2 linked regions of the Ovis aries genome follow. The protein of the gene in region 2 interacts with the protein of the main gene of each other region in a biochemical or structural test. Links are inferred from orthologs where the notes say so. Each region holds a gene or a part of one and is shown on either strand. Other genes may lie near its edges. The genes, in order: YWHAB and ZFP36.

Evidence for each region.
Region 1: the proteins of ZFP36 (region 2) and YWHAB form a complex in vitro, tested with the Homo sapiens proteins (2 studies listed by BioGRID). The link is inferred for Ovis aries from reciprocal best matches to the Homo sapiens genes ZFP36 and YWHAB.

What each region holds. Positions count from the first base shown.
Region 1 is NC_056066.1:73,240,510-73,244,827, reverse strand, and holds the start of YWHAB (14-3-3 protein beta/alpha), read right to left. Parts: upstream 3,037-4,318; 5' UTR 2,855-3,036; intron 1-2,854. UniProt on the Homo sapiens protein: Adapter protein implicated in the regulation of a large spectrum of both general and specialized signaling pathways. Binds to a large number of partners, usually by recognition of a phosphoserine or phosphothreonine motif.
Region 2 is NC_056067.1:48,457,417-48,461,444, reverse strand, and holds ZFP36 (mRNA decay activator protein ZFP36), read right to left. Parts: upstream 2,557-4,028; coding exon 2,533-2,556; intron 1,683-2,532; coding exon 729-1,682; downstream 1-728. UniProt on the Homo sapiens protein: Zinc-finger RNA-binding protein that destabilizes several cytoplasmic AU-rich element (ARE)-containing mRNA transcripts by promoting their poly(A) tail removal or deadenylation, and hence provide a mechanism for attenuating protein synthesis.

The sequences.
Region 1 (4,318 bases), on a different chromosome or scaffold from region 2:
CAGTTATCTTCCCTGCATTCCACAATAAATATACTCCCCCCACCCTGCAATAAACTATATTTCCAAAAGTAGCTAAAATTCTCATCCAAACACATTTACTTGAAGAAGATACATGTAAAGAAAAATTAACTACTACATGGTGTTCACATGAAAGATAAACATGTGCTGTTTCTACCACAAGTAGAAATCTATCATTAGAGCCAGACTGCCTGGGTTTGATTCCTGGCTCTGGCACTGACCCAGTGCTGCGTGTGTGTATGCCTCCAGGGAAATTATTTAACTTCTCTGTGCCTCAGTTTCCTCAACTAAAACGGGGCTAGCAGTACTTACCTGTCATAGGTTGTTATGAAGACTTAGTTAATACGTGTAGAGTGCTCAGAACAAAGCTTGGCACATATAAACAACAGCTATTATTACTATTACAGCTTGATACCACCTCATCAGTTGATGAATAAACATTGGATGGACTCTCTATGTGCCTATGCATTATAGCACATATGCATGTGTCTTATCTATATATATGTATACTCACAAATATAGTCAAATAACATTTATTAAACATCAGGTAGATTTCACACCCTTATTTTAATTACTGAGTTTGTCACAATAATACATCAAAGACTACTACCGTGTGCACTGACCAATGAGAAAATTGGTCCACAATGCAGTTCCATAATACCATACCAGTTTTTTTTTTTTTTAAAGCAACATGTATACAAAGTAACATTGGGTCTCATCAGAATGCAACCAAGGGGGGAAAAGCCCTTAACAGTGAACTCTGTGATTAAAACACAAAAGCTTATATTTAACAGTTTACAGTTTGTAAAAAGGTCTCTTGACAAACCTGGAGATAGAGAAACCAGGAACCAGAGATTAAGCAGAACACTGAAGATCCCACAACTAGAAAATGCTGCAAGGAAGGGTGGAATCGAATTTACCTGACTCCGAGTCCAGTGCTCCTCCTGCTTCACACCCACAGCCGGGCAAAATACACTTTTTGCAGCGGCCCAAATCTCCGGAGACTCTGCCTCAAGAACTAGCATTATGGGAATGTGCTCAGCCTGGCTCTCTGGAGGCTGCCTCCCCAATCTATAGAGCTCTGATTCTAAAATGGCTCCAACCTAACACAAGCACTGCCTGATGGGAAATGTACAGAAGATTATAGGGTAGGAGCCACACTCCTGGGACTGACAGGCCATAAATATTTGCTACTGATGAAGGAGGATATTCAACTTGGAAACCAGGTGTGTGGTCTAGGCCAAATCATCTCCTTTCTCTGAAGGATTTCATCTGTAAGACAGGTGAAGGGTTTCTTATCTCACTGAAAGGAGGTAACAGAGAAACAGTTCAGCAGTGGCTACTGGATTAGCTTTCCACCATGAAGATCACCTGGAAAATTCTAACTTGGGTCCAGCACAATGCCAGGTTTCATGCTCACCATGTGTGCTAAAAATGAGGGCTCAGGCAACTGACACATTCCTAAACAAGAAATGGAGTGCCCTGGAAGCAGTCAAGAAGGAAATGACCAAGAATCAAGAACACATATTAATACATAAATTTCTAACATGAAAAGGCAAAAAGCAGAGTACCCATGTGTCTAGTTCTGTAAGCTGCGTGTGTGTGTGGTTTCATATGAACAATTGAGATAGACTGAGAAATGCAGACAATTTTTCATATTCTTCCAAGTGCTTCATCTTTCTGTTCTGGCTCCCGTGGCCGCCTGATGTTCTATGTTCATAATAGAATCTTGCCAAATCCTCTCTCCCACACAGGGCAAGTAAAATCAGAACCTGATGCGATCTAGCCTTACTAAAGGGAAAAGCAGTGATGGCAAGGACAAGAGACAAAAATTTTACAGAAAGGTTGGCAACCTGTCTTACCAATACTGCCACCTTTCAAAGCCCCATTACACGCAGAGTTCTCCATTTGCAATAGACAAAGATGCACTCATTCTGTGCAGAAAAGGGTCTTAATTACTCCCACCCCTTCGCCACCACCAGGGAGGCCACCAGGCAAATTTCAGTCCTAAAGTCGCGTTAACACACAGTATGGGGAATTTGGGGCGAGGACACAATGACTCTGGCATTAAATGACGGTAAATGCCGTTGGGAAAATATTCCAATTCTGAGCCTCAGACATTTTATTTTTTTTCCTGGGGATCCGGCCTGACTCAGTAACCAGTTCCAGCAAATGCATTTTCTTGATACAAATCTCAACCCTGTGCCTCCTAGGGAATCTCGGGTCCTGCCAGGCTCCCAAACCAGCGAATGATGATGAAATGGCTTTACTGCAAAGTGGGAGGGGGGTTTTCCCTTTGCTCTCTCCCAAGGTTAAACCTGTTACCCATCCCGGGGGGCGGGGGGTGCGGGTAACGAACAGAGGAATTGGGCCTGAAAGCTCGCCTGCATTTGGTTACATTTTCATTTTTGAAAACCGGAAAGCGAGGAACGAGGGTGACCGAGCTGAAAGGGTACGATCTGGCCGCTCAAGGTGCAGGGAAAGGTCGCGCGGGGATCGAGGCTGGGTCGTGAGGAAGAGTCGGGAGTCCGCGACTCCTCGTCCGTTCCCGCCTGGTATGGGGAGCCGCACCCCGCCCGCCGGGCAGGGCCGCGGGCGGCGAGGGTGGCCCGGGCCTCTCCCAGAACGACGGGCCCGGCCCCGGAAACAGGGAGGGGCCGCGGTGAGGCAGAGCCCGCGCAGCGGGCGGCCTCGCGGGGCCGAGAAGGCCGCGCGCCGCCGCCCCCGAAGCCCACCCGGGAGGTCGCCCTCGCCGCCGCCGCCGCCGCTGCCAGTGATGGGGGAGCCGTGGGCTCGGGCCCCTGGGGGCCTCGGGCGGACCCCGCGCCGCACTCACCGTGGGAGGACTGCAGGGGGCAGAGAACCTTGCGAGCAGAGCTCCGGGCGCAGTGACCGCTTCCTCCCCAATCCCACTCCTCCGGCGGCGGCGGCGGCGGCTGCAGAGGCGGCGGCGGCAGCTACCCCGGCTCCGGAATCGGCGGCTGCGGCGGCTCCACTTCCGCTCCGGTCACCACTTCCGCTCCGGCTCGAGCCCCGCCCCTGCGCCGCCTCTTCATTGGGCGAGCGGGGCACGGGGTCGCCCCGGCCGCCCAAGAGGGGCGCCGCCCGAAAGAGGAGGGAGGAGAGCGGAGGGCAGGGGTGCCGCGGCCGGGGCGGGGCGCGGCGGGGGTCTGGCCCGGGAGCACGGAGGAGGCGGGCTTGGGCGGGGGGGTACGGAAATGGAGGGGGGAGCGGAAGAAGGAGGTGGGCGGAGTGCAGGCGGGGCTGAGAGGGCTCTAGAAAGGGGCTGTGTGGAAACTGGGGGCACTGGGCGAGGCTTGGGGCTTGGCGGGCCTGAGGCTTAGGCTCGGAGCTCGCCGGGGCCAGGCCCAGTGTCCGAGGTCGTTGGTTCCCACCCCTCCCCGAAAGGAGTCGTCACGGGATCGGAGGTGCAAGTCAGCCCCCTATTGCTGCGTGCTCTGGAAATACTAGATTTAGGGAAGGACTGCAATTGCTCATCCATAGAGTTTTCTTTAGTCCTCCCTTCCGTCCTTCAAGGTACGTCATTTTATGGACTGAGGAAACCGGGAATCAGACTGCCGATGATCGCTCAGTGGTGTCCGACTCTTTGCGACCCCACAGGCTATACATACAGCCCATGGAATTCTCCAGGCCAGAATACTGGAGTGGGTAGCCTTTCCCTTCTCCAGGGGATCTTCCTGACCCAGGAATAGGGTCTCCTGTATTGCAGGCAGATTCTTTACCAACTGAGCTATCAGGGATTCCCGAATACTCTCTACTCAAGATCTTAAAGGAAGTTTAACGAAAGGAACCAGGCCTTCTCTGCCTCCTACTCCTCATGACTGCTCTCACCCTTTATCAACATTAAGCACTTCCCAAGGCAGTTCTTCAAAATGCCTCACCTCTACTCCCCCCACCCCACCCCACCCCCATCATTCATTCTTTCAGCAAATACTTATTAAGCAGGCTTTATGTTGGATGTTGGAAACAAAGCAAGAACAAGGCAGAAGGGGCCCTGCTGTGTTGGAGTTTACAGGCTGGTAGGAGACAGAACAAAGTAAATAGTCCTTGTCATTTCTCCTTTAACTTTACTTAGGTTTTGATCAACTTCTAATGCATCGTCCTTCCCTCAGACCTGCTCCCATCAACTGCCAAAGTGATTGTTGAAAAACCCCGTTCTAACTGGTGCCTCTTCTTTCTTAATATGTTCGGTGATCACTCAGACCTTGAAGACAATCGATAAGCTCCTTGAATGTGACAGTCAAGGTTCTCCAGAAGCTGCCCTCATCTTTCAGCTTCT
Region 2 (4,028 bases):
CGTCCACCCCTCCCATCTTACTGCCTCAAGACCGCACAACAGCCGGGATTCCAATTTACACACAGATTTATTTAAAAATTCCAGAAAACCACAAAAATAAATTTTTAACAATATATATTACTTAATATATTATAGTGTATACTTATAACAATAATTATTTCATCGTTTCCAATATTACAAAAAGAGGAAGAAAAATACAAGGGAAGCAGACGACCCAATATATATAAATACTATAAAATCTATTAGAATAAATAAAGTCGTCATAAATAAAGGGCCCAAAGGCGGGGGTGGGAGAGCCGGGCGTTGGCAATGGCTTTGGCTACTTGCTTTTGGAGGGAAGTTTGAGCACCAGGATTCCCTTTCAGGTGAGGCTCCAATCACGACACTGGAGCCCCAGGATCTAGGAAGTAACTGGAAGAGGGCATTGGGGGCTTATTATTCACAGCATTGGGCAGGGGTGAAGTTGAAGAGGCTTACTACCTCCCTCAAACTTGCTACATTTTTTTTAAAAGACCCCATAAAACACTCCTTCCCAAACAGCCTGCACGCTGAGGACCTGCCCCAGCGCGGGGGTCAGGGGAGTGAGTTAATGCACTTTGGAAGGTGGGGAGAACTACATGATTACGAGTCCCTCAGTTCCCTACAGCCCCGGGACCCCTTGTGGAACCCACGCACAAGAAAAATGGCCCCCCTTAAGATCCAGCTGATCTGTACTAGGCAGGCACTTGTCACTCCGAAACGGAGATACGATTGAAGATGGGAAGTCGCCGAGGGGCGGCAGGTGGCTGAGGTGGCCCAAAAACCCCAGCCTCAAAGACAGGTGAGTCGGATCCCCCCAGGCTGCTGCCGCTGCTGGCATATTCGTCGGGATCAGATCCCAGGGAGTGTGCAGAAGGGCTCCGAGCTAGGCCACCCACAGGCCCCCAGACGCTGTTGGGGGTGGCCCTTCGGCAGGAAGGGCAACAGGCTGGGGTGGGGTCCCTTCGGGACACAGGTGTCCCGGGGGCAGCAGAGAAAGCAGAGGGTGAAAGTGGAAGGTCCCCGGGTGGCGGTGGTGGGGAGCTGGAGGGCGAGAAGGACCATGAGGGCACGGAAGGGCCTGCTAAGCTTGCTGGTGGTGGCGAGGTTCGGCGGCCCGAGGGCAGCCCTGAGAAACTGATGCTCTGGCGCAGCACATGGGGATGGCCGGGGGCAGCCAGGTCCTCGCTGGGGTTGTGGATGAAGTGGCAGCGCGAACCGTAGGGGCAGCGACCCTGGAGGTAGAACTTGTGGCAGAGCTCCGTCTTATACTTGGGGTGGCGACTGGGCTGGCGCAGCTCACCCAGGCCATGGGCAAACTGGCACTTGGCCCCATAGCGGCAGCGCCCGCTTTCTGAGAAGGTCCGACATAGTTCAGTCTTGTAGCGGGATGAGGTGGTGGGAGTCGCGGTAGGCGAGGTGGGTGAGGGCGACAGCTCCGAGCTGGGTCGAGGAGCCAGGGGCGCAAAGCCTGGGGGTGGGGGCACCCAGCCGCAGCTGCGACCCTCCACCAGGCTGGTGGAGCGGCCAGGCAGGCGGGCAGCGGCCTCAGGCAGGCTGGAGTCGGATGAGCTGAGGCTCCAGGGTCCCGAGGAAGCCCAGCTGGTGCTGGACTCAGTCTCTCCGAGGTCGGATGGCAGTTCAGGGCTCAGCGACAGGAGGCTCTGTGGAAACAACGATCGGTTAAGACACCGAAAATACAGGGTGACGCCCCGCCCCAGCTGCAGGGCAACCAAGGGCTTGCCAGTCCGGTTTGTGGGCTCCCGGCCTCAGCCCCACCCGCCCTAAGGGAAAAAAAAAAAAAAAACAAACCTCGGGTTCCGGATCTCAGGGATCCCGATTTGGAGGTTTATTCGCGATTTAAGCTCATCCCGAGGGACCCACTAATCTCGGCTCCCCCGGCTGGATCAGAGGGGCCCTAAAGTCAGGACAGACTGCTGTTCTCCAATTTTTTAAGCCTCTGGGCCTCTCGGGATCTGACCCCACTCATCGGTTTCTCCAATTTCACAAGTGGAACAGCGGGCAAAATTAAGCCAGGAGTCCGGATCTCTTCGGGTTTAGAATTCCAAGATCCTCTGGGGCAGGGAGCGAAGAGACAGAAGTCAGCTCCCGCTCACCCTGAGACTCCAGCCCCAGAAACGCCTCCGCGCAAAACCGCGCCCTCAGCAACTACTCGGGTAATCCAGGTGTGGGGGCCATTTCCGCCTCCAGACAGCCCCGGTCTGAGAAAAGTTCTCCAGCTTTCCATCTCCGAGGGCCACCCCACTCGTGTTGGGGCCGAGATCAGAAAGCCACAGGCTCCATTTTCATCCCCAGAGGATCACACTGATCTGATCCGGGAGGCAGGAACCCCGGGCCGGTGTGAAGCGCTAAGGAGTTCCAGTTTGAGAAGGGAAACCGGTGCGGGGAGGGCTGGTCCGGGGCAGGAATTTGTTTGCGGCCCTAGAAAGCCCTGGTTTGAGAAGGGAGTCAGGTGTTGCGGACGTCGGGGTGCCGATCGGTTGGGGGGCTCACCTTGTAGATGGCGGCGAGATCCATGGCGGCGCAGATGGCCGAAGGATGTAGAGCCGACGGAAAGTGGGAGCGCTGAAGTCACGCTGCGGTGGAGTGGAAGAGCCGCCACTTTTATTCGACCAGAGGGGAGGCGGGGCCAAGGGGAGTTGGCCCCGGGAGGGCGGGGCGAGGAGGGGCGCTTCCCGGACGCGCGCCCCCAGCGCAGCACTGCCGGCCCGAGTTCGGAGCCCTTCCGCCTGGATCCCGGCCCGAATTCGCCTGAGCGGGGCCCGCGGGCGGTCGCGACCCCGCGGGGAGTGCGTGAGGTGGGGGGTGGGGGTGTCGGCCCAGTTTTCAAGGCTGGAGACTGAGGCGCGGAGAAGGGAACCGGGACGGAGGTGGGGGCAGGGCTCCCGGGGGAATTGACAAGGGCAGAGGCGGAGAGGGCGTGCGCGCGCGACACTGATCGACAGGGGCGGGGAGAGGCGAACCGAGAGCAAGAGAGAAATGGAGGGACGCAAAGAGAAAAACATGGGGGCACACACACACACGGGGGGAGCTACGCACACAGGGAGACATGCACAGAGCGGGGGAGACAGGGTGAGGAGAGGAGGGGAGGTGGGAAGGCAGAGCTTGAAAAGAGACGTAGACAGTCCCCAAAGAGACAAATTCAGAGCGAGAAGCGGGAGGGAGGGAGAGTCGTACAAATAGAGAAGGGGCGAAAACTGGAAGAAACAAACATCCACAGACAGAAATCCGCAGGAGCAAAACAGTGAGAGAAGAGCCTCCCCAATCCTGGACGGTCTTGCTCCCGAACTGCCCAGATCCTGAGACCTGGACCGCCCTCTTTGCTCCCATTCACGAGGATTGGGGGTGAGGTGGGGTCCCACACACCTGGTGAGGTTGGAAAGGGGCCTCATTTCCCAAATACAGGACCGCTGTGTCCTCTCACCCTCACACAAATAATGGCGCTTCTGATGGCTTCCTCTGGGCTAGGCACAATTGCAGAAAGTGTCTTACATACATTAACCCAAGGAGGTATTATGCCCATTTTAAACACAGGGAAACCCAGGCATGAAGAGGCCAAGTTATTGTTAGTGAATGGCATTAGCTTAATACCAGGGCCTTAAATCATATTAAAGGGAGTTTGCACTCAAGAAAACTCAAGATTGGAAAGGGGGAGATCTTTTATTATGATGGAGGGTTTCTTTGCTGGAAAGCTGTCTCAAATGGAAGAAATGGATCATCCCCAACTGATGGTCGGATGGGACTCTCATAAAGGGATGTGCCTTGAAAGAACTCTGCGTTTGCAGAAATCACTCCCCTCATTGACAAGTCTTTTATTGTAAAGGAGTTGCCCTGAGTGATGCTCTCTTAAGATATGGTAAAAACACTAATTTTTAAAGGGGGTCTCCAGAGCTGGCTGCCCTGACTGAAAATACGGTGGTAGAAATAAATCATTGCCACGGAGTGCAGTTATTATGGTGGAAAGTTCATTCTTGCAGGTTGTGACTGCG